Caenorhabditis elegans: one gene and its partner. The protein of the gene in region 1 purifies or fractionates together with the protein of each later gene. This does not show direct contact. Each region holds a gene or a part of one and is shown on either strand. Other genes may lie near its edges. The genes, in order: irld-62 and ZK228.3.

What was found.
Region 2: the proteins of irld-62 (region 1) and ZK228.3 fractionate together in Caenorhabditis elegans (co-fractionation; one large-scale study listed by BioGRID). This does not show direct contact.

What each region holds. Positions count from the first base shown.
Region 1 is NC_003283.11:15,309,054-15,313,077, forward strand, and holds irld-62 (Receptor L-domain domain-containing protein), read left to right. Parts: upstream 1-2,026; coding exon 2,027-2,144; intron 2,145-2,295; coding exon 2,296-2,559; intron 2,560-2,604; coding exon 2,605-2,738; intron 2,739-2,787; coding exon 2,788-3,154; intron 3,155-3,212; coding exon 3,213-3,274; intron 3,275-3,315; coding exon 3,316-3,483; downstream 3,484-4,024. Other genes in the region: srz-10 (Serpentine Receptor, class Z), read right to left, coding at 1-10.
Region 2 is NC_003283.11:18,457,548-18,463,145, reverse strand, and holds ZK228.3 (YitH/HolE acetyltransferase (GNAT) domain-containing protein), read left to right. Parts: upstream 1-1,895; 5' UTR 1,896-1,914; coding exon 1,915-2,071; intron 2,072-2,426; coding exon 2,427-2,609; intron 2,610-2,799; coding exon 2,800-2,933; intron 2,934-3,169; coding exon 3,170-3,283; intron 3,284-4,040; coding exon 4,041-4,246; intron 4,247-4,696; coding exon 4,697-4,832; 3' UTR 4,833-4,905; downstream 4,906-5,598. Other genes in the region: ZK228.4 (N-acetyltransferase domain-containing protein), read right to left, coding at 175-331.

The DNA of each region.
Region 1 (4,024 bases):
TGTTATTCATGTCAGGTTTATAAGAAATTAGAAGAAAATTGTGTGCAAAAAACTCTGATGGAAAGTTTAGTTGTTTGAGAGAAATTAGAAAAGTCACCTGTTCAGAGAACTGGGTTTCCAAGAGCAGTGCTTATTTTCAGAATTACAATTAATTTTTGGTTTTCATGGATTGAAATTCGTGGGTGTCTCACTTTTACAAGAAATCACGACTATTTGAATTCGCAGCAGACATCTTGCAGGTCATATGATTTTTACAACTTTTAAGCTAGGTTTTAACGCAACTTTTTCCTGGAACTGTATGTGCACCACACTACTCCAAAACTCCAAAGCCAAAACTGGGAAGTATTTGAACTTGTGTGACTCGAAAAAAATATCTTTCTAATAAGAAATTTAGCGGCAGGGAAGCATTTGAAAGCAAAATTTTTAAAAGCAAAATTTCAAATCGACTCTACTCCAAAAATAATAAAATAAATTACTCGTAGGCCTAGAATGAGAAAAACAGCGAAAAACAAAACAAATTTCGAATTATACTTTTCACTCAATGGTTAAAAGTGAATTAATTCTTGGAACATGTCACGAAAAAATTTAGAAAATCACCGTGGCTAAGCAGACTAAAAATGACGTTCGGCATTTGGTTTTCGAAGTTCTATGTATGTCGGTGATCTTTTTTCGATGTTACAAAAAAAATAAATAACCTTTTAGACAGTTTATGATTTTTGGCTGGTTACAATAAATTTACACATTTTTTCAAACTTAGTGAAATCAGGAATTTACCAGTTAAGAAGGTTAAGACCTTCTCTCATTACTCCGGTTAATAACATATAATTTTAGTTCGGAGCCGAAGAACAATTTGCTGCTACATTTGAAGAAAGGACGTAAAGGAAGTTTTCGTGAGTTTTTTCCCGTTTGTCAAAAGGTTGGCGTTACATTTCAGAATGTGGTTATGCTACTAGACATTATATGTCGAGAATCGGTTTTTCTTAATCTAATTTTTCATAACAAAAATCTATTTTGGCTTCCTAACTTACTGAACACAAATTTGCTGTTTTACTTGTTTTACTGACCAATGTGCCTTTGGAGAAATTCCACGTATGAGCTCGACACATTTGCTCCGTCTCTTCTTCATCCGCTTGCTGTAATTGAGATTCCAGTTCATTTGCTAGCCGCCTATATTATAATATTCAAAACTCCGTCGACAATGACTTCAGTTAAATGGATGATGATGTTGCTTCATCTTTGGTAAGAATTTTGTGTAAAAATCCTAAACATTAGGATAGTTTTTTGATGTGAAATCTTTCATATCTCATCACCGAATAATCTTGGTTCACCAAGTTCAAACCATAATTTTTTTCAGCCAATCTAGACTCGGAGTATTCCCGTGACTTTGAAGCCTGATTGTGGACCGAAGTCAATTGAGGCCAGTTTGAAAGTCTCCATTAATCCTTGGATGGAAGTAAGTATGAGCCATAGCTGTCTGGAGTCAGGTGGTTTACTCTCGACTACTCCAGACTGGCTAATCTGGTGTCTACCAGTTTCGCGTGATCGAAGTTGGGTGATTGCTATTCTTGTTGATATTATGACCTTACCACGCAATGATGAACAACTCAATCCTGGACACGTGGACCACATCGCCAACCTTGGAGGGATTGCCCGAATCAGTGCTTACTATATAATTGTTACCGTACGTGTTCTATTAGTGTTACTACTGTTCCGTTAATAAATGATTGTAGAGTCACCGTTGTTCTGTTAGTTAAGTTAGATAAAAACACTGAACCGCACTAAAAATCAAATGAGGGTTTGCCAATTTTTTACGGTTTCAGTGAACTTTGAATTTTAAACTGCATTATTGGAGTTGCAAAAAATAAAAATTGTTAGATTAATGTTCTTTGGTTTTAAAGTATTTTTTCATGAAAAATATTATAGTTTGTTCAATTGTCTAATTACAAAAATGTCAAAGGCAACAAAAATTACACCTGCCTTAATTTTCGTCTTGCTCATTACTCAAAGTTTCCCTACACATTGAAGTATGAAAACTTTTATGTTTTGCGTAATTTTGTTGATTCCCAAAGTTGGTTCAACCATCGATGACTTGAATGATATGAAGTATATTGAAGAAACCGAATCGTTTTTCAGGGAGAGATGTGGTAAGTTTACACAATGTTGTCTTAACTGCTGGTTAAAAAAAAATATTTTTTGATGAAGCCGCGCTTGACTGTTTTTATGGCTCCAAACTGAGAGAAAAAAATATATATATTTGATAAGAAAATAATAACAGAATCTTTTTTCCTATTCCAGAACCTCAATGTATTTACACCGCGAATCTTTACAACAATCGCTCTGCTATCCCTGGCCTATTCACATCTGAAATGGTTGATATTTTCCCTAGACAATGTACAAAAGTTTGTTGTGAAACAATTATTAAAGCCGAGTCTAATGTATCAGAGGAACAGTTAGCAAGAACATTTCAAAACGTGAAGCATTTAGTTGGCAGTTTGCATGTATCATTTACAGAGTATGAGAGTTTAAAGTTTTTAGAAAGTCTGGAGACTTTGGAATGTGGTACGTTTTAAATCAGCTTGTATGAATTATTCTTTTTTATTTCAGGAGATCGAGAGTTTCTATGGGAAGACAATAAAATGAATGATATGGGACTCACTAACTTGACAACTGTTATATGCGCTGACTTCCGTATTTTTAACAATTTCAGAATGAACAAATTGAATTTGCCGAATTTGATAGTAATTTTGGTTCACCTAATAGTAAAACTAATGAAACATTCTCTTCCAGAATATCGTGCCAAGAGATGCTAATGGTTCAAGGATCAAAGTTTCAATTCTTAGTTCCATGCTAACAACTGATGTGACGATCCAAGAAGCTATGACCTTCCTTAGCAATCCTGATGTAGACTTTGAAATATCACAAGTGGATTTTATTAATACAAAAACAGACACCTGCAATGTGGGTAACGGTATTCCTGAAGGATGTAAGCACGTTTTTGGTGATTTGAAAATCGGTCAGGATAATGAGCATTTGGTAAGCAGATTGAAATCAGTTGAGGTTTTATTTGGAGGCCTGCTAATAAGTCGAACAAGCTTGACAACTATTGACTTTTTTGATAATCTGAAATACATTTTATTGCACACTTCGTCGATGGGTGCGTTTTTTTTTTCAAAGTATTTTAAAGATTTATCTCAAATGAGAATATATTACAGAGGAAGCCATTAGAGTTGAATACAATGTAAACTTGACAAATTTTTTATTCCCCAGTTTGAAGGTAAATCAGATAATTCTACCACTTGAATGCCAACATTTCAGCGAATTTATCCAACTTCAACCGTATACAGTAAATTCATTGCTCATCATGTAGTTTTCTCTAATAATAATAAGATTATTTCAACTGATCCAATTTATTGTGATCAATTCGAGCATGTCTTGAATGTGAGTAATGTAAAGGAATCTTTCGATAAGAAAAGTTGTGGTTAGTAGGTTTAGGAGGAAATTAAGTTGAGATTGTTTTTTCAGAAAAAATAAGACAGGAATACAACAATAGCGTGTCAAGATTTGGATGGACACCAACAATTTTAATATTGCTGACAATTTGTAACTGTTTTTGATTTTTGAAAGAAAAACTACATGTTGGAAGTTGGAAAATAAAATTTGTTATTGTGCTCGATGTCATTTTTATTTTCAAACGTGTTTCAAAAATCTTTGAAACACAAAATTGTGGAGCGCAATTTTAACGGAAAAAATGTAGATTTATTTTCAGAGAAAATAAAAAAGGAAACAATGTTCATGATTTTTGCGGTTTCAATGATGTTGTAATCAATATGCTAATAGTAAGATTGCGAGTTAAAGTGAAGCCCAAGCCTGCACATAGTTTTCATTTAAATGATCTGATAATTAAGCCCCGTAGATAGTTTTATATTCATCAAGTGATAAACATGTTTGGTGCTACTGATATGTTCACTTTCGAAGGAAACATTGAACAACTCATTTTTCAAACTGTTTTACGGATTGATCGGTT
Region 2 (5,598 bases), 3.1 Mb from region 1:
GATTTAATTTGTATGATTTTGAAACCGCAAGCTTAAGGCGGTTCTAAATTGTATCAATTTGATAAAATTCGAAAAATTTTAAAATTTTCGATTTTTTGAAAAAAACAATTTTTTTTCAAAATTCCCAAAAAAAATTTTTTTTTACAAAATTCCAAATTCTTATTTAAACTTTACCCTTTTCTTTATCAATAACCGTAACAAACCAATATCCATCATAACTCGTAGAATAAAATCGATAATCATACGCTTGATGAGCCCAGCCGTTAGTTTCTGCGGCCAAGTCGATGAGCTGGTCGAAAACTTGTTGCGGTGGGTTTATCACTAACTCCATTATAAAAAACTAGTGGAAAAAACTGAAAATTAGAAAAAATAATGATGAAAAATACAGAAAAAATGAGCAAAAACGGATGAAAATTGACTATTTTAGGAATTTTCGAAAAAAAAAACGATTTTTTGAAATTTTGAAAAAAAAATCAATAATTCTTAAAATTTCAATAATTGCCAATAATGTGCATAAAACTACTACACTCGTAGCTTTTATCGCAAAAAAACTGAAAATTTCATCATTTTCCCCCCGACCAAAATGGCAATTGTTTCAATGAATTTCCCCTTATTATCACTAATGATAAGAAAATTAGTGATTTGATTTTTATACCGTCACTTTATTGTAGAAAAAAGCACGAGAAAAATTGGAAAAACTGCTAAAAAAGTTTGGAAATCGAATGACTTTATATCCGATGAGAGTGTGATAATATTGTGCAATAGTGATCGAAAATTGGGTAATCTTAGCGAAACCTTAGTGTTTGAACTGATAAATTAAGCCCAAAGTGAAAAAAAAGTAGCTAATACTGAAAAGGTTGAAAAATAAAAAATAAAATTTCAAAAAAAAACAAAACTATCTAGAATTTTCCGAAATTTTACACTAAACAAGTTCAAAAAAAAAACCGAACAAAAACTATTTACCTCTCGGGGACTCGAACCCCGGACCCATTTCCCCATAGTCATCCCTCTACCCACCTGAGCCACTTCGACCCATTTTTAAATTTGAGAAAACTAGTGGTATGCTGGGTGTTTAAGCATTAAAATTTCATGGAGAATCTGAAATTTGGGTTGATTTTCTGATCTGGAAACATTGGAGCAAATTATTTGCTCATGTTCAGAATTTTTTGGTGAAAAATACCTAAATTTCCAACTTCTGATCAAAACTTTTTTGTTGAATAAACTCGCAGCTCCTAACAAAAATTAAATACCCCACCGGGGACTCGAACCCCGGACCTCTGCCCCGACGCCATCCCTCTACCCACCTGAGCTAACGCGACCCATTTTTCCAAAACTTTCAAATTTGAGCCCGCAAACTTAAAACTCCTATATCTCCGTGATAAGTAGGGATATTAAAGTAATTTTTGTAAGGTATAATAATGAGATTTCTATGAGAAAAAGGCACATTGCATCACTGATAAAATGAAAATCACGAAAAATTGCACAATCTCTCTGATCATTGCAATAGTGTGTAAAGTTCAAAATATCATCACTGAATCTTTGCACTTTTTTCCCGCAATTTTTTTTTACTTTTTCTATGTTTCTTCTGTCTATAGCATTTTTTATCAGTTGGTCAAAGGTCACCGATCACATAAAATCTTATCATTGTATTAGATCTTTTCGATGATTTTTTTTTTCTGATTGTGAGACTGATAAGGGCAAATTGAGTCTAATGATCACTTTTTTGTAGTTTTCAACGATTTTTATTTGTTTTTTCATTTATTTTGAAATTTTAAATTTTTTGCAAAAATTAGAATACAAATTTTTGAATTTTTCGAAAATAAAAAAAAATTGAAAATTTTCTAACATCTTTTTTTCGTTTTTTTTTCTCATATTTCGTATCACTTTTTATAATATTTCAGAATTTTCACCACAATGGAATTAGTAATAAACCCACCGCAACAAGTTTTCGACCAACTTATCAACTTATCTGGGGAGCTCAATGGCTGGGCTCATCAACCATATGATTATCGATTTTATTCGGAAAATTTTGATGAATATTGGTTTATTGCAGTTGTTGATAAGGAGAAAAGTGAGTTTAAAAACATAACAAATTTTAAAAAATTTAAAAAAATTGGAAATTTTTTATTTCTCGCCATTTTGATTTTCAACTATAAAATTCCAATTCAGCAGGTTTTCCCGGTAATTTTAAGTATAATCATGACGTATTTCTGATAATTTTGAAATTTCGAGAGAGCGCAGAGAAACGAGACACTCTAGCTGTCTGCGCTGGCGCAGTGGCTAACATGAATGGCTACAGTGTAAGGGTCATGGGTTCGACCCCCACTACGGGCAAAATATTTTTTTTCGGTGAGAGTAATAGGATAACACCAATTTTAAACTAGGAAACTGCGGAAAACTTGAAATTTCCCCAAAAATTTTTTCAGAACCCCATGAAAACTTTGTTGCTGGCGGGTGTTTGGCACGGTGGGATGCTGAAAATGAGGCTTCACTCTACTCAATTGGTCTGTATTACTGTAAGGAAGAATATCGTGGGAAAGGACACGGATTGCCGGTTTTCAAGGCGATGATGGGTATTGTGGGGGACGGAAATTGCGTTCTGACAGCTGGTGGGTCAATTTTAGCTATTTAATTGAAAATTTTAAATCAAAAAATTGAGACGGTCACAATGAGTATAATTTTGTTAATTTTTGGAAAAAAAATCTTGATATTTTTTTTTTTTTTTTTTTTCGAATTTTTTAAAACTTTTCTAATTTTCTGATTTTCACAGTTTCCTCTTACATTCATATAGATTTTCAGCAGTGGACATGTCTGAAAAGTACGCCACCACTTTTGGATTCAAGGAAATGCTCCCGTTTTGGCATATGGAAGCAGAAATTGAGCCGGGAAAAATGAGAATTTCAGCGGATTTGACGGAGAAATATGTTACAAAGGTATGAAAATTGAGTAAGAACGTAATTGTTTGGGTAATTAAAAAACCAAAAAATTGAAAAAAAAGTTTTAAAAATTTGGAAAAATTTTTTCAAAAAAATTTTCATTTAATTTTTTTCTTTAATTTTTCGAATTTTCAAAATTGTCATCACAGTTATACTCAAACTGATCAGAAAAATCTGCTCAATTCAAATTTTAACCCAATAGGGCTCTAATTCTAAAATTAACAAGTTTTCAGGACTGGAAAGAGGTGGGTGAAGCTCAGCTAGAAGCCTATGACCTAACAATTTGCACCCGAAATCGCAAGAAACTCATGAGAAACTGGTTTCAACAGGATCAGGTTTATACTAGAGTGAGTTTCGGGCAGAAAATATTTAAAATGAATCTGGAAAAAATGAGCCCCAGAATTTGTTGAATTTTCGGAAAAAAATCCAAAAAAATTTTAAGGAAATTTTTTTGTTATCTTCAAAAATTCATAACTTCCTTTGAAATATAGCAATTAAGCTAATTTTTAATACAGTTTGCAAAACATACATTAATTAACATTAGTCTAAAAAAATATTAGTAAAACCATCAAAAACTACAGTACCCCAAGACTTTTCCTGGCGGGACTTCAAAATTTTTTAGAAAAATTTTATAAATTTTTCCAAAACTCTTTTTTTTCAAAAACTATAACATTGTTATATATTATTATTATTTCAAAAACTATAACATTGCTCAAAATACAATCTATAAGCTAAATTGACATACAAATTGTACAAAATACATTTCTAAACTAAATTCAAAAACATTTTGAAACAAATCATGAAAAATTACAGTACCCCAAGACTTTTCCTGGCGGGACTCTAAAAATTTTTTTTTTTTAATTTTTTTTTTTTTTTTTTTTAAGTTTTAGAATTTTTTCCAAAATTTCAAATTTTATAACATTGTTAAAATGCAATATATAAGCGTATTTTACATTCAAAATGTACAAAATACATTTCTAAACTAAATCCATAAAAATTTTGAAAAAAATTATCAAAAACTACTGTACCCCAAAACTTTTCCTGGCGAGACCCCCAAAAACCGAAAAACTTCCGAAATTTTCAAAATTTCAAAACTTCTTCCAGATCGCATTTGACAGCAACCAGAAAATTGTGGGTTACTGTACTATCCGAGTGGTCAACCTAAACCGGCTTTGCGCTGCACCGTTTTATGCTGAAAATGTGGAAGTTGCGGAGGTTTTAATGGCGGATATGATGAAAAGTATTCCGGATTTTGCAAGTTTTGAGAAGTTGATTTTCTGGTACCCGGATGTTAATAAAGATGTGGAGAGGTATGTTGGGAGATAAATGTTTGATAAGAAATTGTTAAATTTGCTTGAAAAATCAAGTTTTTTGAAAAAATTTCAAAAATGTCGCAAATTTTTTTTTCAAAAACATTCAAAAATATACTCAATCAATTTGTCTTAATTTTCTGATTTTGAAAAATATATTCAACATGGGTCCCACCGCAATATTCGCTGAGATACGGTGGTTTTTGCGCCCAACTGAAAAAGAGAGAGGACGCAGACAACGAGAGTGTCTCGTTTCTCTGGGCTCTCCAAAATTTCAAAGTTATCAGAAACATGTCATGATTATCCTTAAATTGACCGGGAGGGCATGCTGAATTTGAAAAATTACGTTAAAAAAGGCCGAGTCCAACATTTTTTGAAAAATTAAAATAAATTAAAATAAAAAAATTATTTAAAAAAATAAAAAAATTTTTAAATAAAAAAAACTTTTAGATTGCTCCAAAAGTTGCTCCCAAGTGATGGATATCATATAAAAAAAGATTTCCGTACCCAATTTACGAAAAATGTGATCAAAGCCCGAGATGGGGTGGTGTACTCCGTTGCCTGTTCTACACATCAATTTGTTTGAAATTTTTGGTTAATTTTGTATTTTTTTCAAATTTTTTAAATTGTATTTTTAAAGTTTGGAGTAAAACTTTTTTTTTGAATTTTTTTTTCGTTTTTCTATTAGAAAAAATCAAAAACCTGCCATTTTCAGATTTATGCCGATTTACTGATAGTGATATATTCTTTAATTTTAATTTTGCCGGCTACTCGAGTTTTGAGAAAAAGTATTATATTAAAAAAAAAAAATCGAAATTCCGTCACTTTTTTCTATTCAAAAATTCAAAAAAAAAAATAATTTCCTAAACATTTAATTGTCAAAAATAATCAATTTACGATATTCTTCAAAAATAAATTTGTTTTTAAAAATTTTGAAAATCCGAAAATTTTCGATAATTTTTTTCCAAAAAATCAAAAATTTTTAAAATTTTTTTTAAAACTTTTATTGTTTTCATTTAAACCGAAATTGTCTCCTGATTCCAAAAATATACATATCATAGTACCTGGATCAAAAAACACAGAGTTACGGGCGTTTTTACACCCACCGCATAGAGAGAGAGAGAGGGCGCAGAAAGCGAGAGTGTCTCGTTTCTCTGCGCTCTCTCTTTGTCGAAATTTCAAAGTTATCAGAAATATGCCATGATTATATTTATTTTGAACGGCACATGAAAATAAATCCAAATTATCTAAAAAGAATTGGAAAACTTTACAAAGAAAATATTTTGGTACAAATTTCCAAATTTTCAACAAAAAATTTATTTTCAAAAACTATGATTTGTTCCAAATTTTAT